Canis lupus familiaris: one gene and its partners. The protein of the gene in region 6 binds, or shares a complex with, the protein of the main gene of each other region. Links are inferred from orthologs where the notes say so. Each region holds a gene or a part of one and is shown on either strand. Other genes may lie near its edges. The genes, in order: RANGAP1, IPO13, NUP50, XPO1, XPO5, RAN and SIRT2.

The links.
Region 1: the proteins of RAN (region 6) and RANGAP1 are in contact, whole or in part, in a cryo-EM structure (PDB 9B62), measured with the Homo sapiens proteins. The link is inferred for Canis lupus familiaris from reciprocal best matches to the Homo sapiens genes RAN and RANGAP1. Residues at the interface, in NP_006316.1 of Homo sapiens: Asp18, Gly20, Tyr39, Val40, Ala41, Thr42, Leu43, Gly44, Val45, Glu46, Glu70, Lys71, Leu75, Arg76, Tyr79, Asp91, Thr93, Ser94, Arg95, Val96, Thr97, Asn100, Lys123, Asp128, Arg129, Lys130, Lys132, Lys134; in NP_001265580.1 of Homo sapiens: Ser29, Gly58, Asn59, Thr60, Asp86, Thr89, Gly90, Arg91, Leu92, Arg93, Ile96, Asp121, Ala123, Phe124, Gly125, Asp127, Asn151, Cys152, Gly153, Met154, Gly155, Arg189, Asn190, Arg191, Gln217, Asn244, Asp245, Asn246, Thr247, Asp273.
Region 2: the proteins of RAN (region 6) and IPO13 are in contact, whole or in part, in a crystal structure (PDB 3ZJY), measured with the Homo sapiens proteins. The link is inferred for Canis lupus familiaris from reciprocal best matches to the Homo sapiens genes RAN and IPO13. Residues at the interface, in NP_006316.1 of Homo sapiens: Lys37, Lys38, Tyr39, Leu43, Gly44, Val45, Val47, Pro49, Trp64, Gly74, Leu75, Arg76, Asp77, Gly78, Tyr79, Ile81, Gln82, Asn103, Arg106, Asp107, Arg110, Val111, Tyr147, Trp163, Arg166; in NP_055467.3 of Homo sapiens: Leu33, Tyr34, Tyr35, Ile39, Lys42, Gln46, Leu49, Met50, Gln53, Glu73, Tyr76, Phe77, Ser80, His83, Ile84, Ile118, Thr121, Arg122, Val125, Val172, Glu175, Glu176, Thr179, Ser414, Asp415, Arg784, Asp785, Pro787, Asp788, Pro829.
Region 3: the proteins of RAN (region 6) and NUP50 are in contact, whole or in part, in a crystal structure (PDB 7MO0), measured with the Homo sapiens proteins. The link is inferred for Canis lupus familiaris from reciprocal best matches to the Homo sapiens genes RAN and NUP50. Residues at the interface, in NP_006316.1 of Homo sapiens: Arg29, His30, Thr32, Gly33, Glu34, Phe35, Glu36, Phe52, Val124, Asp125, Ile126, Lys127, Ser153, Asn154, Tyr155, Phe157, Glu158, Phe176, Ala178, Pro180, Ala181, Leu182, Ala183, Pro184, Glu186, Val187, Asp190, Pro191, Ala194, Tyr197; in NP_009103.2 of Homo sapiens: Pro344, Pro345, Lys346, Val347, Val352, Lys362, Cys363, Lys364, Phe366, Tyr367, Lys368, Asn371, Glu372, Phe373, Lys374, Glu375, Lys376, Gly377, Ile378, Lys384, Lys390, Gln392, Leu394, Arg396, Thr399, Asn400, Leu401, Asn403, Ile404, Leu405.
Region 4: the proteins of RAN (region 6) and XPO1 are in contact, whole or in part, in a crystal structure (PDB 7B51), measured with the Homo sapiens proteins. The link is inferred for Canis lupus familiaris from reciprocal best matches to the Homo sapiens genes RAN and XPO1. Residues at the interface, in NP_006316.1 of Homo sapiens: Lys12, Lys37, Lys38, Tyr39, Val40, Ala41, Leu43, Gly44, Val45, Val47, Trp64, Glu70, Lys71, Gly74, Leu75, Arg76, Asp77, Gly78, Tyr79, Ile81, Gln82, Val96, Pro102, Asn103, Arg106, Arg110, Val111, Glu113, Val124, Asp125; in NP_003391.1 of Homo sapiens: Leu35, Tyr36, His37, Gln43, Arg44, Gln47, Leu50, Thr51, Lys54, Glu55, Asn74, Tyr77, Tyr78, Gln81, Lys124, Val125, Lys129, Met132, Leu173, Glu176, Glu177, Phe181, Gln185, Lys266, Thr269, Glu270, Asp313, Gln316, Asn317, Gln320.
Region 5: RAN (region 6) and XPO5 share a complex: the UniProt entries of both Homo sapiens proteins name them as parts of the nuclear export receptor complex. The link is inferred for Canis lupus familiaris from reciprocal best matches to the Homo sapiens genes RAN and XPO5.
Region 7: the proteins of RAN (region 6) and SIRT2 are in contact, whole or in part, in a crystal structure (PDB 5FYQ), measured with the Homo sapiens proteins. The link is inferred for Canis lupus familiaris from reciprocal best matches to the Homo sapiens genes RAN and SIRT2. Residues at the interface, in NP_006316.1 of Homo sapiens: Phe35, Glu36, Lys37, Lys38, Tyr39, Val40; in NP_036369.2 of Homo sapiens: Phe96, Arg97, Glu116, Phe119, Gln167, Ile169, His187, Ile232, Val233, Phe234, Phe235, Gly236, Glu237, Ser238, Leu239, Phe244, Gln265, Val266, Gln267, Pro268.

The regions. Positions count from the first base shown.
Region 1 is NC_049231.1:24,926,385-24,929,969, reverse strand, and holds part of RANGAP1 (ran GTPase-activating protein 1), read right to left. Parts: intron 2,181-3,585; coding exon 2,046-2,180; intron 1-2,045. UniProt on the Homo sapiens protein: GTPase activator for RAN. Converts cytoplasmic GTP-bound RAN to GDP-bound RAN, which is essential for RAN-mediated nuclear import and export. Mediates dissociation of cargo from nuclear export complexes containing XPO1, RAN and RANBP2 after nuclear export.
Region 2 is NC_049236.1:16,398,938-16,402,522, forward strand, and holds part of IPO13 (importin-13), read right to left. Parts: intron 1,153-3,585; coding exon 1,012-1,152; intron 906-1,011; coding exon 764-905; intron 656-763; coding exon 489-655; intron 281-488; coding exon 160-280; intron 75-159; coding exon 1-74. UniProt on the Homo sapiens protein: Functions in nuclear protein import as nuclear transport receptor. Serves as receptor for nuclear localization signals (NLS) in cargo substrates.
Region 3 is NC_049231.1:21,795,842-21,800,018, forward strand, and holds the start of NUP50 (nuclear pore complex protein Nup50), read right to left. Parts: upstream 2,811-4,177; 5' UTR 2,688-2,810; intron 1-2,687. UniProt on the Homo sapiens protein: Component of the nuclear pore complex that has a direct role in nuclear protein import. Actively displaces NLSs from importin-alpha, and facilitates disassembly of the importin-alpha:beta-cargo complex and importin recycling.
Region 4 is NC_049231.1:62,835,483-62,839,067, reverse strand, and holds part of XPO1 (exportin-1), read left to right. Parts: intron 1-265; coding exon 266-460; intron 461-1,489; coding exon 1,490-1,658; intron 1,659-2,315; coding exon 2,316-2,450; intron 2,451-2,531; coding exon 2,532-2,691; intron 2,692-2,768; coding exon 2,769-2,865; intron 2,866-3,585. UniProt on the Homo sapiens protein: Mediates the nuclear export of cellular proteins (cargos) bearing a leucine-rich nuclear export signal (NES) and of RNAs.
Region 5 is NC_049233.1:12,196,459-12,200,043, reverse strand, and holds part of XPO5 (exportin-5), read left to right. Parts: intron 1-1,592; coding exon 1,593-1,748; intron 1,749-3,344; coding exon 3,345-3,386; intron 3,387-3,585. UniProt on the Homo sapiens protein: Mediates the nuclear export of proteins bearing a double-stranded RNA binding domain (dsRBD) and double-stranded RNAs (cargos). XPO5 in the nucleus binds cooperatively to the RNA and to the GTPase Ran in its active GTP-bound form.
Region 6 is NC_049247.1:1,620,959-1,624,775, reverse strand, and holds RAN (GTP-binding nuclear protein Ran), read left to right. Parts: upstream 1-1,344; 5' UTR 1,345-1,356; coding exon 1,357-1,392; intron 1,393-1,500; coding exon 1,501-1,585; intron 1,586-1,658; coding exon 1,659-1,784; intron 1,785-2,612; coding exon 2,613-2,800; intron 2,801-2,969; coding exon 2,970-3,140; intron 3,141-3,235; coding exon 3,236-3,280; 3' UTR 3,281-3,294; downstream 3,295-3,817. UniProt on the Homo sapiens protein: GTPase involved in nucleocytoplasmic transport, participating both to the import and the export from the nucleus of proteins and RNAs. Switches between a cytoplasmic GDP- and a nuclear GTP-bound state by nucleotide exchange and GTP hydrolysis.
Region 7 is NC_049222.1:115,017,259-115,020,843, forward strand, and holds part of SIRT2 (NAD-dependent protein deacetylase sirtuin-2), read left to right. Parts: exon of another isoform or gene 1-942; intron 943-1,597; coding exon 1,598-1,657; intron 1,658-1,937; coding exon 1,938-1,993; intron 1,994-2,110; coding exon 2,111-2,187; intron 2,188-2,278; coding exon 2,279-2,330; intron 2,331-3,096; coding exon 3,097-3,167; intron 3,168-3,288; coding exon 3,289-3,355; intron 3,356-3,469; coding exon 3,470-3,585. UniProt on the Homo sapiens protein: NAD-dependent protein deacetylase, which deacetylates internal lysines on histone and alpha-tubulin as well as many other proteins such as key transcription factors.

The DNA of each region.
Region 1 (3,585 bases), on a different chromosome or scaffold from region 6:
GCACAGATCACAAAGCAGAACTTTGGGTATGGCTGTATCTGATCATCTCCACAACCTCATGAGGGACACCTACCTGGGATGGGGAACCCCACCAGACAGAGAAGACTAGGGATCAGAAAGGCTAAGTAACTTATGAAGGCTCACACAGCTCAGAACACAGGTTCCTGCGTCTGGTGTCCACACTGCAAGGACCCTGGGTGCTGGCCTGGTCTGCCACAGTCCTTCCTCGCATACTGCAGCTCCACTGCACTGGTCTTTCTCCGGGCTCTCCTGCTCTATTTACATAGTATGACCAGTGCTCCACATTTCCTCCTTTTCCGGGGGGTGGGATCTTCTCCAACCACCTAGCCCTTTTTCATCCCAACCTTCTGACACCTCTTTTTTTCTGGTTAAAACACTCAGGGTCTTTATTTGTTGGTATTTCCTTGATAGATCGACTCCTATGTAGTCTTCCTATATACCTCTCATTTTGGACACCTCCCCAGGAAGGCTTCCAGGATCCCCACCCCCCTGCCCATGTACAGTCCAGCACTCTTCCTCTGTGCTCCCAGAGCATGTCCTTCCTCTCTCATGGTATTTGTTCATCATCCTGGACTACCAACATCGCCCTCCTGTCTACACTCCACCAGCCTCTGAGCTCTCAAGAAGAGACTCATGTCCCAGTCTCTGCTGCTACCAAGGACCGAGGTCAGGCCTGTGAGGACTCTCCACCTAGTAGTGGAGTTCTGTAGTTCCAAAGTGCCCAGAACAGCACAGGGGGTTCACAGGTAAATATAGGCAGACCAAGTGAGGAACATTACCAATCAGGGCTTCTCAATATCTTCTGTGCCATAGACCCTCTGGGTAGTCGGGTACAGCCCCTGGCTCCCTCCTTAGCATATTTTAAAATTTTAAGATAAACCATATGGACCTATTATGAAGGCGATCAATTCAATTGAAAGAGAATCCTCAAAATATTTGGAAAAGACCCCAAATGTGTGCTGCAGTAATAAATGCACTCCTTATTATAAAGGCACTGAGCAGGGACGCCTGAGTGGCTCAGAGGTTGAGCTTCTGCCTTCGGCTCAGGACATGATCCCGGGGTCCTAAGATCGAGTCCTGCGTCAGGCTCCCTGCAGGGAGCCTGCTTCTCCCTCTGCCTGTGTCTCTGCCTCTCTCTGTGTGCCCCTCATGAATGAATGAATAAAATCTTAAAAAAAAAAAAAAAAAGGCACCGAATAACAAGTCCTCCTGGAGGCAAGTCCACTGATGCATGAGGAACAAAGGACAGAAAGCTGAAGGAGAGTGTAACCTTCAGAGAAGGCATAACGTAACGTCACGACGTTTACAAGGATGGCAGCTAGGCTCCTGTAACTCTGGAGGCACCTCTCCCTTGCTGTGTTCACTCTCTGCCTGAGGGAGACGAGCTCCAGCAGCTAGATGGCGGGGCATGCTTCTCTGGCCTCAGTGTGGTTAATGCTGCTAGAATACGGTTTGCCAAAGAAAACAAATTGAGAGAAAAAAAAGACTCCAAAGTTCCCAGCCCTGTGGGACAGGTGTGGGCCTCTCATGGAGCTCGCAGTCAGGGTCTCAGCAGGGTCCCAGAGGGCAGGGCACCTGGGCCACAGCTCCCCTACCTCCCCGTCTCAAAGGTAAGTCTGATGACTCCATCTCTGTGCCCCGCCCACTAGAGGCCAGAGATACGCACCCTCTGTGAGCCCAGGCACTGTGCCAGCCTGTCATCCCACTCACTGCCCTGGCTCCCCCGTCCCCGTTTCCGAGTCTGGCAGTCCTCAATCACTGACCAGAGCAACCTCAAAATCTTCTCAAACAGTATTCCAGGGAGCTGCCATCAGTTCACTTGCAGCAGTGGATCACGCAACTTTTCAGACACATGACAGGAATCCTGCCCCACTGCAGAACGAGCCACAGGTGCAGAGAGGGGATGTAACTCGCCCTAGGTCTCGCAGCTCCACTCCAGAGCTGCAGGCACACCAGGCTGTCAACCTGCGAAAGCTTAGCCCGCCTCAGGGCACGGCGGGGCAGGGCGTGCAGAAACCACTCACCCCGAAAGCTTCTGCCAAAGCGGTGGCTCCGTCGTTCTCCAGACGGTTTCTGCCGGCCACGAAGACCTTCAGGCCCAGTGGCTTGCCTTGGGCACTGGATTTCCGGTGACACTCAGTCAGAGCCGCTGCCAAGATCTGTGGGGGAAGAGGGAAGAGGCCCAGCCTCTCGGACATCCTATGCCACCTACTGGTGGTGGACGTGGGGACAGAGAACTGCTCACAAGCAACATGCTCACACTGCACATGTGCCCAGCACCTTGCAGCTTACTAGGGGCTTTCACGTACACCACTAGCGTGAGGGGGTGTGTGTCCCACTACCCTGTGGGGTTTAGCCTCATGTTAGCGATGGGGAGAGACACCTGGAGGGAGGGGAGACACCGAATGGGAGGTCCATGGAAGGGCAGGTACTAGGGAAGGGGCTTCACAGTCGGCTCACTGCACTGCCAGAAGCCGTCTGTCAGGTGGGGACCATTGTGATTCCTCCTCTCCAGCTGAAGAACCTCAGGCTCAGAGAGGAACAAGGACATTCCTACAGCTGCTAAACATATGGAAAAATCTAGACCAGAACCCAGATCTTCTGGCATTTCTTCCACGTTGCCCAATGCCTGAGGGGGAGCTGACCAAGACCATGGTCACACTCCTTTGACACACACCATATTGTTGGTGTGGTGCAAGGACAGAAGCGAGGACGCAGCTTCTGCCTGGGTGATGATATCGACACAGCAAGAGTTAAAAAATGCTGGCTGGTTGCCGGGAATCAGAGAGACCATGGCTGCAACTGGCAGCCAGTCAGCCTGACTACACAGCTCTTTGTCCCTGGGGGCTAGAAGGGCCACCACAGCCTGACTCCCAGTGGGTGGTTTGCATGCTCAGTGCACAGATCATGGACGTCCGCCATAAACCAGCCTCCTAAAAAACCAGCACATTCCATTCTCCTCAGGTGCCTCTGGGCCCACCACAGTGAGCCAGCCTGGGGACTCAGGGCCTGGAGAGCTCCAAGCACAGGGCTACATCACACTTCCAGCGAATCCTTTGGGCCCCTCCAATTCCCTTGCGTGTGGCACATGGGCCACACTGAATGCACTCTGGCCGGAGGAACAGATTCTGAAGGAACTGGAGCCTATGGCACTTGCAGCTCCCAGGAGGTGCAGGTCAGCAAGGCCGGCACCCACAAGATGCAACAAAACTGAATCAGAGGTGAGGGAGGTAAAAACGAGCACACGTGACATTCCAGAGTGGAGCTGGGCTGCCGGGGGGACCCCCTGGCTGCAGGGTCCACAGCCTTTGTGCCTGAGCTATGGCCCACGCCAGAGTAAAGGCGAGGCCTGCTGCCCAGCCACTGGCAGCTCTAGGAGCCTCAGTAGCCCAGGCCTGCTGCGCAGCAGGGGGGAGCCGATGGAAAGCCGGGGTCTTTCAAAGGCGCATCTCCAACTCCCTCAGCTCTAGGTTGGGCTGGACCCATTTTCTGTGCAGATGCCAACATTTTAACGTCTTCACACACGCACGGCTTACTGCTCAACGAGACTGGGGAGGTGGGGGA
Region 2 (3,585 bases), on a different chromosome or scaffold from region 6:
GGCACCACATCAGAATAATTGACATCGATGGTCTCTGCGATGGATTGGAAGCCATAGAGCAGGGCCTCTGTGTGCTGAGGAAAGAGGGTGCCACTGGCTTGGCTGAGGAAGGGCATGACAGTTTGGGGGAGGGCTAAGGGAATCAGGCTTGGGAAATACCTGCCAGGAGTAGGGCTCCTCTGAGCTGGTGAGCAAACGGCCTAGCTTTTCATAGAGGTTGCTGAGCAGCTCGGCCCCCAGCATCTCATACACATACATGAGCGTATCTGAGATGTCCACCCTAAGAAGTAGATGAAGACCTTATATAATGCCCGGATCCTGCCCCCAAGCCCAGGAGCCCACCCAGTTCCCTCACAACCCTGTAAAAGTGCCTAGAGAGTAGGGAAAGGAGCCCCAGGATTCAGGAAGCCTGGCCTTGGGCTCCTCCTCTTATTGACTTCATTATTTCAGGATTCTATTTAGAGGTAGGGCTGGCCTGCTACCATCACCTGTAAATTCGGAACTGCTCCTTCTCGTCTGAGGACCAGAATCCGTATTCCTCATCAGAAGGGAACTGAGCCTTGTGCAGAAGTACATCCACCAGCTGGAAGTAGACTGGCCGGTACACCTGCTGGTACACAGCCTGCTTCTCTGCCTCGAAAGACAGAATGTCATCCTGAGAGAGCCAGGGAAGGAAGTTAGCCACCGAGGCACTAGGCCCAGAAGCCTATGACCCACCTCCTATCATTACAGCTTAGTCCTACTAGAGCTCACACAGACACACCTGCAGCGTGTACCAGAAGGTGAGGGTCAGGGAACTGGTGGTCTCGTTGACAGGATAGTGGCCAGGGATGCCAGTACAGAACATAATCATGTTGACAAGGGCTAGGAAGCTCTGCCAGTGCTCCACTTGGTCCAGCAAGGCCCTTGGAAGGAGGAGGTATAGTAAGGTCATTCCACCTCCCCCAGTAGGACTCCATAACTCTACCTCTTAGAGGGCACTATCCCACCCTCAGCTGCCCCACTCCTTACCGGGAGTGGTTCTCGCCCAGGGCCACAGCAATGCGACAGATGCCATGGGAGGTCTCCATGTCCCCATTCTGCACTGCCTGTCGCAGTTGATCTTGCAGTCCCAGCACCAGCGGGATGAGTTTCAGGAGTGTATTCACATACCTGGAGGCATGAGGTAAGGACTCATCAGAGCCCTCTGCCTATCCCCCACCAGCTTTGAGAGAGAGGCACGTTCTCTGTCTGCCAGCAAAGCACTCACCCCACATTAAACCCAAAGCAAAAAAGAGGTCAGGGCCTATAGGGCAGCTTTGATGCTGCCCATATCAGGAAAACCCTTAAGTCAGGGACCTCCAGGAGAACTCCAGGAAGGAAGTATGAGAAGGTGAGTGTTGAATGGGTTGAATTATGTCCTCTAATTAGACTTATAGTTGATGTTAGCATGGCTTAAGATTTCTGGGGAAGTTGGAATGAGATATACATATCTTACATGTGGGAGGAACATAAATTTGGCGGTGGGGGGGGCAGAGGGCAGACGGTTATGGGCTGAACTGTATCCCCCAAAAAGATATGTTGAAGTCCTAACCTCCAATACCTCAGAATGCAATCTTATTTGGAAACAGGGTCATTGCAGATGAGGTCATGGTGGGGTGCGGGGCGGGGGGGGGGGACTCTAATACAATATAACAGGTATTCTTTTTATCTTTTTTAAAGATTTTATTTATTTATTCATGAGAGACAGAGAGAGAGAGAGGCAGAGACACAGGCAGAGGGAGAAGCAGGCTCCATGCAGGGAGCCTGATGTGGGACTCGATCCTGGGACTCCAGGATCAGGATCATGCTTTGGGCTGAAGGCGGCGCTAAACCACTCAGCCACCCAGGGATCCCCCTATAACAGGTATTCTTGTATGAAAACAACCATGAACACAGACTCTTACAGGGAGAATGACACGTGATCACAAAGGCAAAGATTGGAGTCATACAACTGCAAGCCAAGGAACAAGACTGCCAGCAAACAGCAGAAGTTAGAAGGGAATGAGGAAGGTTTGGTTCTCCTACAGGTTTTTAGAGGAAGCCAACACCTTGACTTTGGACTTCTAGCCTTTGCAACCGTGAGACAATAAATTTCTGTTGTTTAAAGCTACCCAGTGTGCAGTACTTTATTATAGCTCCTCTAGGAGACTAACATAGATGCTGTTAAGGGAGATTGCACAAGGATGGGAGACAGAGAAGTTAATACAGACTTAGGAGCCCTAATAAAGACATCAGGAGGCACTGACAGCAATCCCCACAGTCCACTCCATTCCCTACCACCAAATCCTAATTCCTATATACTCTGGTGGCAGTACGAAGGGAGAGCAATAGATGATGAACCTGGAGACAGCTAAGGGGCAAAATGGACAGGACTTGCTGACTAACTGGATATAACAATGGGAAAGAATTAAGGACACCTCTCAGGTTACTGGCTGAACAACTAAGTAGATGATGGAGCTATTTACTGAGGTCAAGAGGAATGGGTGGAAGGTGAGAGTAATAAATGTAATGGGAGCCCAGAAGGTGCTAAGTTCAGTGTCAGGCATGTTGAATCAGAGGTACCTGGTGAGATCTGCAAATAGAAGTGTCCAGAGAGTTGGATATGAAAACCTGAAGCCCAAGGGAGAAGTCAGAGCAAGAGACACAGTCATGGGCAAACAGCTGGTAATTGAAGCTATGGGAGTAGATGAGCATTGCCCAGGAAGCAAGCACTGAATGAGAAAAAAAGAGGGTCCAAGTCAGAGTCCTGAAGCATAATGATCTTAAAGGGGGAGCAGGGGAAGTGCAGTATACAAAGGAGACGGAGAGAATACTACCTCCATCTCTCTGTACCCCTCCCCAGCGGCCAGCTCTGTGGAGATCAGACTAGTCAGAGGAAGTGATGCCCTTAGAGGGTGGCGGAATCAGATGCTTGAGACCCCTCCGCTACCAATCACAATGTCACCAGAGCAATCTATGGAGAGGCAGGGGGACTGATGGGCCAGAGGAGTTCTATCTGCATTTGCCCTAAGCAGAGTGCTAGGCAGATAGCCTCATAACCTCAAGGGTAGGATGAAAACAAGAGGCAACCAGCCAGGGATAATGGCTTTCTTCAAATCTCTATTCTGGTGGGACAAGGTGTCCACACCAGGATACCCTCAACCCAGAGACAGCCCTAGAGGGTGCTGCCTGGAGACAGCTGGGATAGCTTCAGTCTCATGACCCTGACACAGGCCGCACCACCAGACAATGGGCACCTTCAGGCCAGACTCCAGCACAAAGAGCAGGGGCAGGGCCAAAGCCATGGCCTGCGAGCTCCCCAGCAGCTGAGATGGGGGCAGGAAGTAGTGCTCTATCCCCAACGCATCCCTACCATGGCTCCTTCACACCTCCCAAAGTTGATGTACACAGCAGGTACCCAATCTTCACTGGGTTCTTGATTTGTCATGTTTGAGTTGCATAATAGGCTAAATTACAGACAATATGGTCCAGAAGGGCTCAGAGTATTACTCAAGGTGATATAGCAACTTAGAGACAAATTCCAGGCTGAGGTAGCTGCTTCTGCTGCAGGACTGCTCTTTCAGG
Region 3 (4,177 bases), on a different chromosome or scaffold from region 6:
GCGTAACTACATTGGGCATTTCAGCTTTTAATAATATCCTAATAATGTCTGAACTTTTCTATTCAAGGATGTACATGGTTTTTTCCCTGATTATAAAATAAATGGCTTTCAAGTCCACGATGCTAACACAAAGTAGGAAGGATACTCAGCCATTATCTGCAAATCCCTCTTTTTAAGGTCTCCCCCTCAAATACCTGGTCAGATTTTGCCATTAATCTTGGTCATTCAGATACAAGCAAGCAAAACCCTTTCAGACCCATTTCCTTACTGAACTTCCACTGTTGAGAGGCCTGGTCTCTGCGCGGACTCTTTCCCTAGTCAGTAACTAACACCTCCACCAGGGGGCAGAAGAGACGAGAAGTTGAAGGAGTCCTTTTTGCTAAGAGTTAAGGCAAAAAGGGGGTGGAGCTGAAAGTGCAAACTGTAATGAAACTGTCACATCTAGTCAGGCCCACAAATGAAAGATAACCAGGGGAGTACAACCACCAAAACCAAACAGCTGCTCCCCCAGACTACTGGCCACCTAACCGCAGGGCAGGGATCTCCCTTTTGCTTCCGGGTCTACTCCCATTGCCCCAAATCTGCGGCTCAGCTCACAGCAGGTGCTCCAGCAAGTGGCTGGTTGATCTGGGGCCCTACTTATTTTAGAGAATACTACAAGATGCTGGCATCTCGGTTTTGCCATTTTCTTGCTAAACCTCTGGCAAGTCATTTAAAACTGCTATGACTCACTTTCTTCATCTGTAGAAGACGAAGGCGTTGGGAAAATTAAGGAAGATAAATTGAAAACTTAGTTCAGAACACTGCCTGGAACAGAGGAAGGGCTTAATAAACATTATTACAGACACAAGTTTTGTTAGAAGCAAAGGCTACAAAATACTACTTTTCCCCAATAATGTATGAAGCACAGGGTAGAAAAAGAGAATTATGAGCCAGGCTTTAAAATATATTTTAGTGGGCAGCCCCGGTGGCTCAGCAGTTTAGCGCTGCCTGCAGCCCAGGGTGTGATCCTGGAGACCAGGGATCAAGTCCCACAGCAGGCTTCCTGCGGGGAGCCTGCTTCTCCCTCTGTGTCTCTGCCTCTCTCTTTGCTCTCTCTGAATGAATAAATAAATAAACCTTAAAAAAAATAAAATAAAATAAAATATATTTTAGCAAATCTGTATTCTATTTCAAAGTAGGATGCTCCAGATAATATTTTTTATGAAAAAAGAGGAGGAGAAAAAAATCTCTGGGAAGTACTCAGAACAAAGCCCAGCACCAAAGAGTCTTCAGTTTTGGCTACAGTTAAGCATTTAGGGGTGCCTGGCTAGCTGACTGGTGGAGCATGCAGCTCTCCACCTCGAGGTTGTGAGGTCCAGCTCCGCCGTGGGTGTCCAGATTACTTAAAAACAAAATTGTAAAAAAAAAAAAAAAAAAAAAAAAAAAGGATTTGAAAAAAAAATTAGGGCTTGTGGTTAAAGAGGCACCAAATTTTAAAATGATTCCTAGGTATGAAGTACTGATAAGAAATTGAGAGTACTCGTAATTGGAGAAAACTATTATTTGTGCCTGATAGTGTTCCGTGGTCTCTGCCACCAGGTGCTGCCTCCACCTCGGGGTTGAACTTCAGACATCAGTTTACCCTGAGACGAGAACAGGTATGACCATACTTGACGGAGAGAGAAAAAGAGAAAAGGTGGGGGGGGGGGGGGGGGGGAGGCGCGGAGCCCGGAGACTGGAAGGCTGCGGAAGGCGAAGTCTCAAAACTGCTTAACGGGGCAGAGGACAGGGGTGACCGGCAGCCCGGGACTGCGGAGGGAAGCAAGGCCCCGGCGTAGGCAGCGGGTCCCTGCCCGGAGACCGCCGAGGGGAAGCCCCAGGGGGGACCCGACCCGGCGGCCGGGGCCCAGGCCAGCTCCGCACCACGGTCACCGCACGGTCACCGCACCGGGCCGACCCCAACCCGGCCCCGGCCCCGGCCCCGACCCCGGGTCCCTCCTCCCCAGGTCTCACTCCCCCCACCCAGACCCCAGCTCCCCGTCCCAGATCCCTCCTTCCCCAGGCCCCATCCCGGGTCCCTCCCCCCCACCCCAGGTCCCTCCTCCCCAGGTACCCCCCCCCCCCCCGCCCCGACCCCAGGTCCCTCCTCCCCGGGTCCCATCTCCCCCCACCCCCCCACCCTAGGTCCCTCCTCCCCAGGTCCCTCCTCCCTAGGTCCCCCCCCCCACCCTAGGTCCCTCCTCCCCGGGTCCCTCCTCCCCAAGTCCCCCCTCCCCCCGACCCCAGGTCCCTCCCCCCCAGGTCCCCCACCCCACCCCAGGTCCCTCCTCCCCAAGTCCCCCCTCCCCCCGACCCCAGGTCCCTCCCCCCCAGGTCCCCCACCCCACCCCAGGTCCCTCCTCCCCAAGTCCCCCCTCCGCCCGACCCTAAGTCCCTCCTCCCCGGGTCCCTCCTCCCTAGGTCCCCCCTCCCCCCCACTCTAGGTCCCTCCTCCCCGGGTCCCTCCTCCCTAGGTCCCCCCCCAGGTCCCTCCTCCCCGGGTCCCTCCTCCCCAAGTCCCCCCACCCCAGGTCCCTCCCCCCAGGTACCCCCGGCCTCCCCAGGTCCCTCCTCCCCAGGCCCCATCCCGAGCCGGAACCCGGCCTCCTCCGCGGGCTCGCCGCCCCCGCCCCCCGCCCCCCGCTCACGCCGCCGCCGCCTCTCACCTGCCGGGCGCCCGCCGGGGGCCCTCTCCGGGTGCGGGCGCGGTGCAAGCCGGCTGCGGGACGACGAGCAGGTGCGGGCGCCGCTGCGGGACACGAGCAGGTGCGGGCGCCGGCGCGGGCCTCGGGGATGAGGCGGCCGCCGGCCGGGGTGAGCGCGCCTGGCCGCGCCGGGGTTCTCCGAGAGCTTGGTGGTCAGCAAGCCCCGGGCCGCAAGCACCATGTCCTCCAGGGGCCGCGCCTCTCTGTGCCCGGCGGCGGGGGGAGGGCAGTCCGCTCAGCCAGAGGCCGCCGGAGGAGCCGCGGCCGGCGGGCTCCGGGCCGCCATCTTACAAGTCCGCTCTACCCCGCCCGACCCGACGCTATAAAAAGGGAGGAAAGAAACGCCCGCGTCCAGCCACTGCGCAGGCGCGCCGGCCGCGGCCCGCGGGACCTCCCTCCGCCGGCCGTGGAGCGACACGCGGCGCAGGCGCTCTGCGGCCTGGAAAAAAACCGTCGCCGGGAGGAGCGCGCCCGTCTCGCGCATGCGCGCGCATGCGTGCATTCCCCCGCCCCGCCCCCGCCGGGGGAGCCGGCGCCCGCGGCGGGAGGCTACGCGCGGTGGTCACGTGTCGGCGGCGCGCCGCGTCTCGCTACGGCCGGGCCCGGCGGGTGTGCGACGCGCTCGGGGCGGCACGGGAGCGCGGCCGGGGCTCGGGGCGTTCGCGGCGCGGCGCTGAGCAGAGAGACAGGCGGCGGCCGGGAAACGTGAGTGACCTCGGGGCGCTCGGCGCCGCCACCGTGTTTCCCCGCGGCTCGCCTGCCCGCCGACGCCGGAGGACCGGCCCCGGCCGCGGAGCGGGAGACACGGACCCCCGGCCCGCCCGCGTGCGCTTGCGGCCGCCGTGGGCGCCCCGTGGGCGGGGGTCGCGCCCCAGGGCAGCACCCACCCGCAGGTCCGCCCGCGCGCCGCCCCCGCGGAACTAACGCCCTGGGCCTCGTGCTCTCGCGGGAACACTGGGGCGCATCCCCGCACGTGCGGGGCACGCGGGGTGACGCGGGGCGTGCACCTGCCCGGGCCATCGCGAGCTAGTTAGGACGCCTGCCTCGGAGGGGGTGCGGGGGCGGATATTTAGGGTCGGAACTTCTCAAGGTCTGTGCATCCTTGCAGGTGGAAAACCAGCTTGCCCACAACCATCTCCTGTGTTCAGGAGCCCTGCCCGGAAACGCCCACCCTTGGATCGGTGTGTCCACGACCCCTATCCTGCTGGATTGCACACATTAAGGGTTAAAAGCAGGTGGCGCTCGCGCTGGACGTTTAAAAATAAAGCCAGATTTATTGCCTGCTGTGATGGTGACTTCACACCAAGACAAGAATCCAGAAGGTAGATGTGGCCAGATGTTTGGATTTTTTTCGTTTGTTTGGTTTTTTTTTCTCTTCCTGAGGCTAGAAAGGAAAAAGAAATACCCAGCCGGGGAACTGTATTAGATGTTTGTCTTTCGCACAGTCTTTG
Region 4 (3,585 bases), on a different chromosome or scaffold from region 6:
TGTTTATGATGGTAAGCAAGTGCATAGGATAAAACTTGGGGGATCTCTGGGTGGCGCAGCGGTTTGGCGCCTGCCTTTGGCCCAGGGCGCGATCCTGGAGACCCGGGATCGAGTCCCACATCGGGCTCCTGGTGCATGGAGCCTGCTTCTCCCTCTGCCTGTGTCTCTGCCTCTCTTTCTCTCTGTGTGACTATCATAAATAAATAAAAATTTAAAAAAAAAATAAATAAAAAACTTGGGTAAAGTTTTTTTTTTTTTTTAACAGGTAGCTGAAAATTTTGTTCCTCCTTTATTGGATGCAGTTCTCATTGATTATCAGAGAAATGTACCAGCTGCTAGAGAACCAGAAGTGCTTAGTACTATGGCTATTATTGTCAACAAGTTAGGAGGACATATAACAGCTGAAATACCTCAAATATTTGATGCTGTTTTTGAATGCACATTGAATATGATAAATAAGGTATGTGGTTTACATTTCAGTATGGGAAATTCTGCATTATGTATCCTTGTAAGACTTGAAAGCATAAATGATAGCTATGGGATTAACTAGTTTAAATATTTGAACATTTAGACCAGAGAAGTACTTTTAAAAATATTAACTATTGGGCAGCCCTGGAGGCCCAGTGGTTTAGCGCCACCTTCGGCCTGGGGTATGATCTGGAGACCCAGGATCGAGTCCCACGTCAGGCTCCCTGTGTGGAGACTGCTTCTCCCTCTGCCCCCCTTTCTCTCTCTTTTTCTCTCTCTGTCATGAATAAATAAATACAATCTTTAAAAAAATGTATTTACTATTAAAAAGATCTTTGGCCATTTGGATGGCTCAGTTGATTGAGCTTCTGCTCTTGGTCTCCGCTTGATCTTGATCTTGAATTCAGAATGGTGAGGTAACACACCAAGTCTAGTCTCCACACTCAGCAAGGAGTCTGTTGAAGATTCTCTCCCTTTGGTCCTCCCCCCAATTCACATGTACTCCCTCAAATCTTAAAACAATCTTAACTGCAAAATAGTAAATTTACATAAAAACTATATTCAGTAATGTATATGTGTATATATATACACACACACAAGAAATGGGGAAATGTATTAAGTAAGATAGGAAAATGTAGATCTAAGTCCACAAATTTACACAGTAGCTAAAAATTCTCGGATCTATATTTGTGATCTTGAAGTCAGAATCATAACATGGTAGTAATTTTCTTAAGAGTAACTTGAAAATATGTTCTTTATGGGTTTTGACTCCTTATAATGGGACCTTGTAGTCCTTATTTTTAGTAATTCATTTGTGTAATCAGTGGTAATTACATCTTCCATGAGAGGCAAATTGTGTTGATTTCAGGTTTGCTGATCAGGAAACCAATATCTTACATACACTGGATGGGGCCCATTAACAATTCCAAAGCTTTATACTAAATTAGGATTTACTTTTTCTTTTTTATTAAACATAATTAAGGCATTGAAACTTTATTTTGTTCTCATCTTTTGTTTATAGGACTTTGAAGAATATCCTGAACACAGAACAAACTTTTTCTTACTACTTCAGGCTGTCAATTCTCATTGTTTCCCAGCATTCCTGGCAATACCACCTGCACAATTTAAACTTGTTTTGGATTCCATTATTTGGGCTTTCAAACATACTATGAGGAATGTTGCAGATACAGGTAAATACACGTCCTTTTATTTAAATACCCTTTTTATTCATTCATCTTACAATCCACAGGCTCTTAAACTTAGATCTGAAGGAATTAGGTAGCACTGTTATGTGGGTTTTGTGTGAGTACATCTGTGGCATATGTAGGTCTAAGTAAATACTAAAAGCAGTTGAATCCTCTCTTCTATGGTTGAGTCCACAGGTGTAGGGTTGATTTACAGGGAGATGGGTGAAAATTCAAAGTAGAGCGACATTACTTTTCCGCATCCATACCAATGTTTCCTTTTCCCCATATGCTTTTCCTCTGTCCCGCTAAGGGTCAAAATAAGGAGAAAACCACATTTTCGAGAGAAATTTTTATTTTTTAATAGAAACTGGTTTATGTAATATACTTGTATTTTCGTAATGCTGTTTTTAGAGTTGATTTGGAGAGAATCTAAACTTTCAGATATAGTGGAAAGTTGGTAATGGTTATTACTGTAATCTATAAGCAGACATTGATGCTAGATGAACTCCCATTATTCAAGGTAATTTAGGCAAATAATTGTTAGTCACTAGTGGAAAGAGGGTTAAGAATGGCTTTTGAATCAGAAGAGTTGAATAGTGGAAATTCTGTGTGAATGTTAACCGGCTGTAATAACTTCATTAGTGTTTTTGTACATTTTAGGCTTACAGATACTTTTTACACTCTTACAAAATGTTGCACAAGAAGAAGCTGCAGCTCAGAGTTTCTATCAAACTTATTTTTGTGATATTCTTCAGCATATCTTTTCTGTTGTGACAGACACCTCACATACTGCTGGTAAGAATTTATAGCCATGAAAATCTTAAGTGTTCAAGTTGTTATTAACTGTGGAGTTAATGATGTTCTTCTTATCAACAGGTTTGACAATGCATGCGTCAATACTGGCATATATGTTTAATTTGGTTGAAGAAGGAAAAATAAGTACACCATTAAATCCTGGAAATCCAGTTAACAACCAAATGTTCATTCAGGAATATGTGGCAAATCTCCTTAAATCTGCATTCCCTCATCTACAAGAGTAAATACACTTTTTAATACACCTATATTTTTCAGTTAAAAAACAGTGATATTTAATCGTTGTGTTTTGTTTTGCAGTGCTCAAGTAAAGCTCTTTGTGACAGGGCTTTTCAGCTTAAATCAGGATATTCCTGCTTTCAAGGAACATCTTAGGGATTTCCTAGTACAAATAAAGGTACGTGCTTTGTACTTGGTATGTTTTAGTTGTTGGATTGTACAATGTACCGCTTTTTGTTAAAGCAAAATGAATGGGATTTTTGAGTGGTATTTAAGCTTACTAGTCCTAGACTGATACACAGTGAAAAACTAAGTCATCGCTGAGAACATGATGCGTTACAAATGTTTTTGGAAACTTGTTATTAATAGAATTCATTTTGGATGATCAAAATGTCTTGGAATAATGGTCATGTCATCCTATAGATGATTTTTAAATTGTGCATTATGGGGAAAGAAACACTGATTGCCCCTTTGGGGATTTCATACCCATTTTGTTAGTAATCCATTTTAGGGAATTAAGACAAATTAGCAGATAATCCACTTCTTTCTACTGCTGTTACACAATGCTTCATTTAAATTTATGGGAAGAAAAAAAAATAAATTTATGGGAAGAAGAAATTGTCTTGTATTACTTTCTTTTAAACAAATTTAAAAGTAATGTAACATCTGTAAGTTGATGGATTATCTTACTGGTGAAGGTTAAATAAGGATTGGTCGTACATGATAATGTTACTCAGATTTTTTTTCCCTCTAAGATAAATAGGTTTTTTAAAAATTGTAAATATATTAGCTATGTCATAAGTAGAGAATGCCAAAGAGAGCGAAAATTACTTGAAATTCCTATATAGGTCAGCTTGGGGTGGCTCAGCGGTGTAGCGCCGCCTTCGGCCCAGGGCCT
Region 5 (3,585 bases), on a different chromosome or scaffold from region 6:
AACGTTCTATAGAATGCTTGTGTGTTGAGCCAAGGAAAAAACTTAATATCCCTCAATAGATTATACAGAATAGATTATAGCAGTGAAAAGGAACTCGGATATGCTATGGATAAGGATGATTCTTTTTTTTTTTTTAAGATTTTTATTTATTTACTTATTCATGAGAGACTCAGAAAGAGAGGCAGAGAGAGAAGCAGGTTCCATGCAAGGATCCCGATGTGGGACTTGATCTCAGGAATCCGGAACTCACCCTGAACCAAAGGCAGATGCCCAATCGCTAAGCCACTCAGCTGTCCCAAGGATGATTCTCACAAACACTATGTTGACCCCAAAACATACAATTTTCTGTGTAATTATGAATATATACATTTGTGACAGAAGTACACAGAAAGGATGGAATCCTTGACATTGTGAACACCAAATTCAGGATAGTGGCCACCTCTAGGGCTGAAGAGGAAGATATGTACACAGAGCAGCCACTCTATGAGTAACATTGTACATCTCCAGGTCGTCACATGGAGAGTTATTAAAGTATTGCTTATACTTTTCTAAAGGTCTGGAATATTTCACAATAAGATTTTGTTCTTTATACACAAATTAATAAAAGCACAAGAACCTAATGAAGAAAGAGTTAAAAGATATCAGATTTATATAGAGAGGGGAAACTAAAGTCATTAATAAATATGAAAAAATTCAGTCCTCATTAGCAACTGAAGAAATACAAATTTTTTAAAAACTATTTATTTATTCATGAGAGGCAAAGACACAGGCAGAAGGAGAAGCAGGCTTCCTGTAGGGAGCCCAGTGCGAGACTTGATCCAGGACCCTGGGATCATGACCTGAGCTGAAGGCAGATGCTCAACCACTGAGCCACCCAGGCATCCCAAAATGCAAATTTTAAATAAACTCTTTTTATTTACTGCAAAAGCTTTAGAGAATAAACTCAAACTGCTGCTGAGAACATGGTAAGAAGGGCATATTGGTGAACAGAGAATCAACTGATAAAACCTGTAAAGAAGAAAAACAATTTGACTTAGAAATTTTCATACCTCTTGATTCAGTAATTATAGCCATCCCCAAAAGTCTGTCCCCCAAATGAAATAATCGAAAATGTAGCCAAAAATTTTTCCCACAAAGATGTATTAGCACTAATGAACAGCAATGTTCTCACTTTCTAGTATTAGGAAAAGCCACATTCTTTTTTTTTTTTAATATTCTTAATCTTTTTTTTTTCTTTTTTAATTTTTATTTATTTATGATAGTCACACAGAGAGAGAGAGAGGCAGAGACACAGGCAGAGGGAGAAGCAGGTTCCATGCACCGGGAGCCCGACGTGGGATTCGATCCCGGGTCTCCAGGATCGCGCTCTGGGCCAAAGGCAGGCGCTAAACCGCTGCGCCACCCAGGGTTCCCGAAAAGCCACATTCTTAAGATGGCATGTGGTCGCGTCATTTAGGAAAAGTTTTAATAACATGGGGTAATGCTTGGAATTTCCAGGTTGAAAAGCAGTATATAAAACCAAAGCCTAAAGGAAATTTTACCAGAAGTGCTTATCAGCCATGTCAACATCCTTTTCATTGTCTGTAATGCAGGCTGTTCCTGTTAATGATGGAATAGAGCTGTTGCAAATGGTCCTGAACTTTGACACCAAGGATCCTCTCATCCTGTCCTGTGTCCTCACTAATGTCTCAGCACTCTTTCCATTTGTCACCTACAGACCAGAGTTCCTGCCCCAGGTCTTCTCTAAGGTAAATTCCATCTCCTTTTTAAACTTTGGTTGGATATTTTTGAACTAATTTTTTGAGACTGTTTTCGAGAGTCTTTGAGACAAGCCAATAAAACCGTCATTTAGTCATTCATCAGGTATTCAATACTTACTGCAAATCAGGCACCATGCTGGTAGAAAAGCCTCACTTCCCCTCAGGCACTCTCTTTGGAAATAAAATCACATAAACAGTTGTTGTACCCATGTGGCATTATAATTAATAGACAAGTGTACTGAGAAGTGGAGGAGAATACCTAAAGAAAGGGTCTCAGTATGCTGTCAGTTTATTAGAAAGGGATTTGTGAGAGGGATGGTTGGTGTGGATGGTTTGTGGGTTTCCAGTTTATGTGAGTAGTAGAACAGTACCTGAGTAAGAATAATGGAATCCATAGAATGAGGAGGAGGGATGAGTTCAGTCTGGGAATACTACATTTGAAGTATATGTACAACATCCAGGAGAAGACACTATAGTAAATTGGCTATTTGAAGTTAAAGGTCTAGAGTCTCAAAAATACAGTATTAAGGTGGCATTATTGTAGAGGGGCTTAGAGCAGAGGTGAAACCCTAGGAAGGAGGGTGATATGAATGTAGAGTTGGACATGTGGCTCAAGCAGGGAAACTTTGTGAGTTACCATCACTGGGGGAGGAGGGTGAAGAATGAGAATTCTCCAAAGAAGAATAACGGTAAAGGCAGATAGGGACGCCTGGGTAGCTCAGCGGTTGAGCATCTGCCTTTGGCTCAGGGTGTGATCCTGGAGTCTTGGGGTCAAGTCCCACATCGGGCTCCCTGCATGGAGCCTGTTTCTGCTTCTGTCTCTCTCTCTGTGTTTCTCATGAATAAATCTTAAAAAAAAAAAAAAAAAAAAGGTAAGGGCAGATAAATGACAAAATGTCATGTTACAAACATCAGCAGAACTTCATAAAGATAGGCTTATTTATTACAACAGAAATTCTTTAAGAACAAGGCAATATCTATTGGGTTTCTTTTTCTTTTTCTTTTTTTTTAAGATTTTATTCACGAGAGCAAGAGAGAGAGAAAGCAGAGGGGAGGGGCAGAGAGAGGAGAAGCAGACTCCCTGATGAGCAGGGAGCCCCACACAGAGCTCAATCCCAGGACCATGAGATCATGACCTGAGCCGAAGGCAGACACTTAACCGACTGAGCCACCCAGACACCACTTCGTTGGGTTTCTTGATTAGACCTTTGTTAAAGTATAACTCCTTCCTGGTGATTTAGGGCAGTAGTCAACGCTGTATTAGGTTAAAGAGTCGATGAGAAGTTACACAGTAGAATCAGAGAGAGTATCACTATAGCTTGAGTGTTTGGCTGATAGCTTGGATTGTTTGGGGATTCTCTAATCTCCATCTTTATAAAATGTTTGATGGTAAAGTTGTGAATTCAAGCCTCTTGCAGAGTTATCTGAGAAAATGAGCATCTGAAACTTTGTAACACCAGTTGAAAACCGTTTTGTTAGTATATTGTTTATACTTTTGAGATTTTGTTGGAAACTTTATGCTACTATTCAAAAATACTTTATGCATTTGATACTGATGAGTAACCTTTTCTTTCTTACCTTTAGCTATTTTCATCTGTCACTTTTGAAACTGTTGAAGAAAGTAAGGTAAGACCATTTAATTCAACCAACAATTCCTAACTTCTGGAAAGCGAAAGTATGAATGCTGAACACCTAAGTCTAGATTATTGTTTTTTTTATAAGGAGAAGGGGTTAGTAAAGGCAGGAGATGGTCATACAATATGGTGTTTTATTCAAGAGATACTCTAAGACAAAACAGTAAACATGGGGATTCATAGTGACTATA
Region 6 (3,817 bases):
GACACCGGGTGTGGGCGGTGGGGGGGCCTGAAACACAAGGCAGGGGCCCGCGGGGTCCAGGTGAGAGGAGGGGGTGCGGCGGGGGCCCAGGGCAGGCTCTGCGGACCGGGGTCTGGGAGGAAGGGCCGGGGCCGGGCCGGGCCGGGGGCGCAGGAAGCGGCCGAGAGGGTGATGGAGGCCCGGGGGAGGCAGGTGGCAGATGGACGGGCGGCTCCGGGAGAGGGTGCGGGTCGGAGCGCCCGGGGTGCCGCGAGAGCCCACAGGGGCAGGGCCACAGGGGCAGGGCCCAAGGCCTCCGCACGCGCCCGCTTCCCCCGCGGCGCACCGTCCCGCGCGCCCACGGCGAGGCCCCACGCCCGGAGGCCCGGGGCTTTGTGTCGGCCGCTCCCCGCGACTTTCCCGCCCAAGAGGCCTGCGCTCTCCTCCCAGTGTCGTGGCGCGGCCGCAGCTGGGCGCGCCGCGTCGGCGTCGGCGCATGCGCGCGCTGGAACCCGCCCTTGGGCCGGCGCACGTGGCCCCGCGAGCCGGCGTGCGTCCGCGCGCCCGCGCCGAGCGCGACTGCCGCCCCGCCGCGACTCTCCCCTCCGCGCCCGGCCGACGGGTGTGGCCGGCCGAGCCCGCGGCGTGCGTGCGCGCGCACGCCGGGCCACGTGGGAGCGACGCGGCGCCGTTGCCCCGCCCCCCCCGGCGCGCGCCGGCGTCGGCTGCGTCTCCGGGCATTTGAATTGCGCTTCCGCCATCTTCCAGCCCTCAGTCAGACGGGCCGGAGACGCTTCTGGAAGGTAAGGCAGCGGGGCCGGGCCGGGGGCCGCGGGGGCCGCGGGGGCCAGGGGCCGGGGGGCCGGGGGGCCGGGGGGTCGGGGGCCGGGCGGGGGCCGGGCGAGGGCCGGGCGAGGGCCGGGGCCGGGGCCGGGCGGCAGTCGTGCGGGCCGGGGCGGCGGCGGCGGCGGCGGCGGGCTCTCGCCGTCCCCTGCCGTAGAGACCGAAGACCGTGGCCGGGACGCCAGTCGCGGTGGGCCCGGGCGGGCGGCGGCCCCGGGGCGGCGCGGGCCGGGGGGCGCGCGATCGGGGCCCCGGGCGGCCCCGGCCTCCGCCCCGCGCGCCGGCCTCCGCCCCGGCCTCCCGGCCTCCCTCCCCCACGGGCGCGCCGCCAGACCCGCCGCCGGAGCAGCGCCGCTCGCCCGCCCGCCCGCCGCCGGGAGCGCGCCGCGGCCCCCGCCCCGGCCCGGGCGTGCGCGCGTGGGGCCCGGCCGCCGGAGCCCCTTTGTGGGCCCGGGCACGTGGGGCGGGCCGGCCATGTGGGCCCGGGCCCCGCCGCCAGCCGTCCCACGTCTGTCTCCCCGCAGCACCAGCGCTATGGCTGCCCAGGGAGAGCCCCAAGTCCAGTTCAAGGTGGGTGGTGCGCGGGGGCGGCCGGGGGGAGCGGGGCGGCGCGGCCCGGGGGGCGCCGGGGCCTCCCCTCCCCCCCCCCGCCCCCCGCGACCGCGTCCTGTCTCGTAGCTGGTGCTGGTTGGCGACGGCGGCACCGGCAAGACCACGTTCGTGAAGCGTCACCTGACGGGTGAATTCGAGAAGAAGTATGTAGGTACGTGGGGGGAGCCGCGGGGGCCCCCGGGAGCGGGGCGCGAGCGGACCTGACGGCCGTGCTTGTGTTGCAGCCACTCTGGGCGTGGAGGTCCACCCCCTCGTGTTCCACACCAACAGGGGCCCCATCAAGTTCAACGTGTGGGACACCGCCGGCCAGGAGAAGTTCGGCGGGCTCCGGGACGGCTACTACATCCAAGGTGGGTGAGGGCGGGCCGGCGGCTGCCGCGTGCTGTGTCATGATGGGCGCAGCGCCGAGCCTGGAGCCTGGAGCCGGGACCCGGAGCGGGCTCCTCACCTAAGACAATGAGCATCCCACGAGGTGCTGCTGTGGCTGCCGGAGTCGTTGGGGCTGGTTGGGGGTTTTTTTGCTTGTTTTTTTCCCTCAAGGGCACTGTAGAGTGGCAGATAAAGACAGGAAGAAAATGTCATCTGGGATCTCTTGTGATGAAAGATGATTGGGAGTCCTTCCATATTTTGCATCCTTTGCTATGTTACAGATACACAGCTTTTTTTTTCTCTTCTTAAAAAGTGTTTAATTAGGAAACTCCTAGACTGTACATACTTCGGTTTGTTGTCTCAATTATATTAGAATTGTGTTCCTCATAGGTCAGTATGTAGGCCTGCGTGTTTTAAGGCAGAATAACATACTCTTTTGTGTAGTTTAGGATCATTTAAAGAGCAGGTTCTGAGATCCTCAGAATAGAGGAGACCAGTTGTCTTAGGGTGCTGCTCTATCGGTAGTCTACTTGAGATTCTGGGATGGGACGGAATTAATGAAGTATTACGGGAGAGATTTGATAAGCTAGGCTGGTAGTTCACACTCACACAGAAAATGAAACTTTAAATCTTGTTACGTATTACAGTGGTTGGAGATCCTTAAACTTGGAAGAGAGAGACATTGGGGTGTAGTGAGTGCAGAAGCAGAGGTAGCCAGATTGGGCCTGTCCCCTAGCCCGTGCTCCTTAGCATTCCTCATTTGTGCAAGAAGTCATACATGTGTAACAGTTTTCCTACATCTGTTTCAGCCCAGTGTGCCATTATAATGTTTGACGTAACGTCAAGGGTTACTTACAAGAATGTGCCTAACTGGCATAGAGATCTGGTACGAGTGTGTGAGAACATCCCCATTGTGCTCTGTGGCAATAAAGTGGATATTAAGGACAGAAAAGTTAAGGCAAAATCTATCGTCTTCCACCGAAAGAAGAACCTTCAGGTATGTTTTTTAAAACTTAATTGTTTTTCTCTAAGATGAAACTACGGTAATAGATCCACTAAAGGAAATTGTGTCTGTGGTATGGATGGAAAAACTATTTTTAGTTTTAAACATTTCAATGATCCTCAAGAAGTAGATTTTTAAAAACTTATTTTATTTTATGGAACAGTACTATGACATTTCTGCCAAAAGTAACTACAATTTTGAGAAGCCGTTCCTGTGGCTTGCTAGAAAACTAATTGGAGACCCTAACCTGGAGTTTGTCGCCATGCCTGCTCTTGCCCCCCCAGAGGTGGTCATGGATCCAGCTCTGGCAGCACAGTACGAGCACGATCTAGAGGTAGGTGGCAGATGGGTCCGTCAGTGGGATCTCTTGGGTGTCCCGTGTCCTGACGGCTCTAACCCATGGTGTCCTGACGTTGTGTCTCTGTCCAGGTTGCTCAGACGACCGCGCTCCCGGATGAGGATGATGACCTGTGAGAAGTGCAGCTGGAGGCCAGCGTCAGAAGTCTAGTTTTATAGGCAACTGTCCTGTGATGTCAGTGGTGCAGCGTGTTTGCCACTTTTATTATATAGCTGAGCAGAACATGTGCTTAATCTTTGGGATGCTGAAGGAGATGAATGGGCTTCGGAGTGAATGTGGCAGTTTAAACAGTACCTTCATTTTTTTGGACCTGCATACTTAGCTGTTTTGGAACGCAGTTGTTTCCTTCCTGAGTTTCAGATAATGAGACTGCTACAGTCCCATCACAATATCCAGTGGTGAAATCTCGTTTGTCACTGTCATTCCCATTCCTTTTCGTTTAGAATCAGAATAAAGTTGTATTTCAAATATCTAAGCCAATGAACTCCTCCCTTGTTTGGTAAGCATCTTAAAACCACTAACAGGAAAAGTTGTGCCACGTTACTGTTGAACTGGCCTTTGCTATTCTCCCTTAATTTGAATCTTTGCAGGTTAAGTTCTTGTCTATTTGTACATTTGGATCCTCTCACACAGGTGACAGGGCAGACATCCGC
Region 7 (3,585 bases), on a different chromosome or scaffold from region 6:
AGCAAGGTCCAGACCCAATTCAGCCGTACACAGAGATGTGTGTTGGCAGAGAGGTCGCCGGACCGCCATGCAGTCTGTTCTGTGGGGTCTGAGGCCCCGGCCCTTTGTCCTTTGAGGGGCTCTGATCTTACCTTACAAGAGGGGCCCACGGAGGGAGACACAACTGCACTCTAATCCGTACCTGCTCAGTATGGCAGCCGCTGCCACATGTGGCTCTGGAGCGCTCACAGATGTCACTACCGTGACCAGTGGACTGAATGTTTCATTTTCCGTCATTTTTATTAATTAAAAAGTTAAAAGCCACATGTAGCTACGTGCACCATACTGGACAGGACGGGGCTGGAGGCCCCGGATCCGATGGCCCGTTAGTCAGATGCAGGCAAGCATGTTCCGTGGAGCGTGGAGCTGGACGCAGGCCTGGTTAGGGACAAAGGCGGGGGGCGGGGGGGGGGGACTGTCCCGAGGGGTCCAGACAACAGGGCTTGTCAAAGTCAGCGTCCCCGTCCATGGAAGGGCAGAGTGTCCAGAAAAGGGGGGAACTATTCCTCCGGCCCACATTTCTCGAATGCCATTGAGAGCCTTTGTCTGACATCCATTGTGCTGCCGAGAAGCCACACATTTCACCCATGGAAAGCCATTTCTGACATTCTTTATGCTGGTTTCACAAAGCCTCTGGTGTTCATGTGAGACAGAGACAGCTGCAGCATTTGTGGTGGGGCCTCTGGAGCGGGGCCTTTCTGCCAAAACGCCAGCTGACCGCCGCTGGGGTGAGGCTTCCAGAATAGCTCAAGTGCGCGCAGCTGGGGGTAATGGACGAGGAACACGACCCCATTGTGTGTCACTTACAGCAAGAGTGTGCGCATCCCCCACAAAATATCATGCTGTCCATGCTGAAATAGTCTAAAGTGAATTGCAGACATTAAAACGGGGCTCTTTAAATACCTGTTGAAGGAATGAATGAATGAATGAATGAATGAATGAACAGTTGAACAAATGAGCTAGGATTCTGTGGGGTGCAAGTGAGCATGTTTCAAGCTTCCTTCCTTAATAAGCAATCAGGAGCATGATTGTCATAAGGATGGTGGTGTGGGGGGGGGGGTGTCTGTCCCAGAACCCAAGGATGGTGGGCAGCTGGGCCCTAGGATGTGTCCCCATCCCAGGATCGTCTGCAATTTCTTCCCTCTCTGTCACCAGGCCTGGGGCTCACCAGGCCTCTCACCCAGGATAAAATAGAACTGCCCCCAAAGACCCCTGGGGGAGCTTTATTGCCCACGTTGGGGGGTGGGGGGTGGGATCCAGTTACCCCTGTAAAGGGCAAGCATCTGCTCATTCATCTGTCCTTGTGTTTATTCATTAACTCAATAGACGTGACCTGGTGCTCGGAGCCCCCCATGCCCTCCACCCCGGAACCCTGGGCGATGGGTGGGGGGAGGTAAGGGGCAGCTCTCTAAGGAGGGAGGGCCTTCGTGAGCAGGGCACACCCCCAGGAGGCCCCCCAGCGACCGAGGTGTGTGCGTGGACCGTGAGGGCTGGCTGCAGCCCCAGACCCTAGCCCAGAGTCGCTTACCTCCTCTCCCTTCCTCTTCCCCACGCCCAGAGAAGATCTTCTCCGAGGTGACTCCCAAGTGTGAGAAATGTCACAGCGTGGTGAAGCCTGGTGAGCCTCGGGGCCAGGGAGCAGCCTGGATGGACTTGGGCTGGGACCCCCGGCCCTCCACGAGCCCCTGACCGGTGCCCCGAATCTTTCCCCGGGAGAATGGGTCCTGTAGCCCCTCACCTGCGCCCGCTACTCTGTAGCTCCCACCTCAGCCCCTCGGGTCAGCCTTCTGCTGCCGCCTGTTCTCTCTCTCATTCTCTCTCTCTCTCTCTGACCCTGTCTCTGCCTCCCGATTCACCTTCTCTTTCTGTCTCTGTGTCTGTCCATCTGTCTGCTTCAGACATCGTGTTCTTCGGCGAGAACCTCCCAGCAAGGTTCTTCTCCTGCATGCAGTCAGTAAGTGCCTCCCCAGGTAGGGGAGGGGTAGCAAGCTGCAGGGCAGGGGTGTGGGGGGAGGCAGCCTGGCCCCTGCTGAGCCTCTGGGACCCTCACTGACCACCCCCCCCTCCCCAGGACTTCCTGAAGGTGGACCTCCTCATCATCATGGGTACCTCCCTGCAAGTGCAGCCCTTTGCTTCCCTCATCAGCAAGTAGGTTGGGGTTGGGATTGGGGGGTGCTGCTGGGACCGGGGGTGGGGGTGGCCAGGACAGACCCTTACCACTGAGCTCCCCATCCCCCAGGGCGCCCCTCTCTACCCCGCGCCTGCTCATCAACAAGGAGAAGACTGGGCAGGTGAGTTGGCTTTTATGTGAGCCCCCCTCTGTCTTCTCTTCCTCTTCCTCCTCCTCCTCCTCTCGGGGGTCCCACATTCCCTTTCACTGGCTTCCTCAGAAACTGAGACCCCTCAGCTCAGAACTAGGTGCTCTAGAACCCGGAGGGGTCAGATTCCAGGCCACCTAGACTCTGATTCTACAGGCCCCGGGGTCCCTCCGGCCCCTTCTGAGCAAGTGAAGTAACTCAAAGCAGCTTAAGCCAGAACAGGACTGCTGGGCTTTGGGTAAGTGAGGAGTCAGGGTGAGCAGGCCCCAGGGCCCACAGCACAGCGTGAGGAGACGCCCACTCCCGCTTTCGGCTCTTTTCCTGAGGTGGCCTCCCTCCCTCATCCCTCATCCCTGGGGAGGGGTGGTTCCTCGAACAGCCAAACACTCCATGTGCCAGACACTGTTCTAAGCATTGTCTGGTTTAATTTGTTTTATTTTATTTTGTATTTTTTAATTTTAAGTAGGCCCTATGCCTACTATGGGGCTCAAACTCACGACCCTGAGATGAAGAGTCACATGCTCTGCTGACTGAGCCTGCCAGGCGCCCCGTAAGCGCTTTCTAAGTATTAACCCGCTGACACGACAATGCCAGGAGTGGCTGGTAATGGCCCCCACTCTACAGATAAGGAAACTGAGGTTTGGAGAGGCCAGGTCACTGAGTGAAGTCACAGAGCAGGGAACAGCCCCAGGCCACCTGGCTCCAGGCTCTGTGCTCTGAGCTCCCCTCTCCCCCACAGACTGACCCTTTCCTGGGGATGATGATGGGCCTTGGAGGAGGCATGGACTTCGACTCCAAGAAGGCCTACAGGTGAGTCCTGGGCCTGCGAGGGTCACAGCCGAGGTGGGAGGGAGGGCATGAAGGCACGCGGACTGGGAAAAGTGGGCAGGGGCCTGGGACAAGCTGAGAGCTCTGACTCTCCCACCCACAGGGACGTGGCCTGGCTGGGTGACTGTGACCAGGGCTGCCTGGCCCTTGCCGACCTCCTCGGATGGAAGGTAAGGAGTCTACCCCGGCCCACCCGGAGCCTGTCCCCAAACCCCTGCCCCACAGGTCCTGTGATCCCATGATGCACAGTGACCTCTAACTTCTATGAACTTTGCCCCCTGCAGAAAGAACTGGAGGACCTTGTCCGGAAGGAGCATGCCCACATAGACGCCCAGGCAGGGTCAGGGGCCCCCAACCCCAGCACTTCAACTTCAGCTTCTCCCAGCAAGTCTCCACCTCC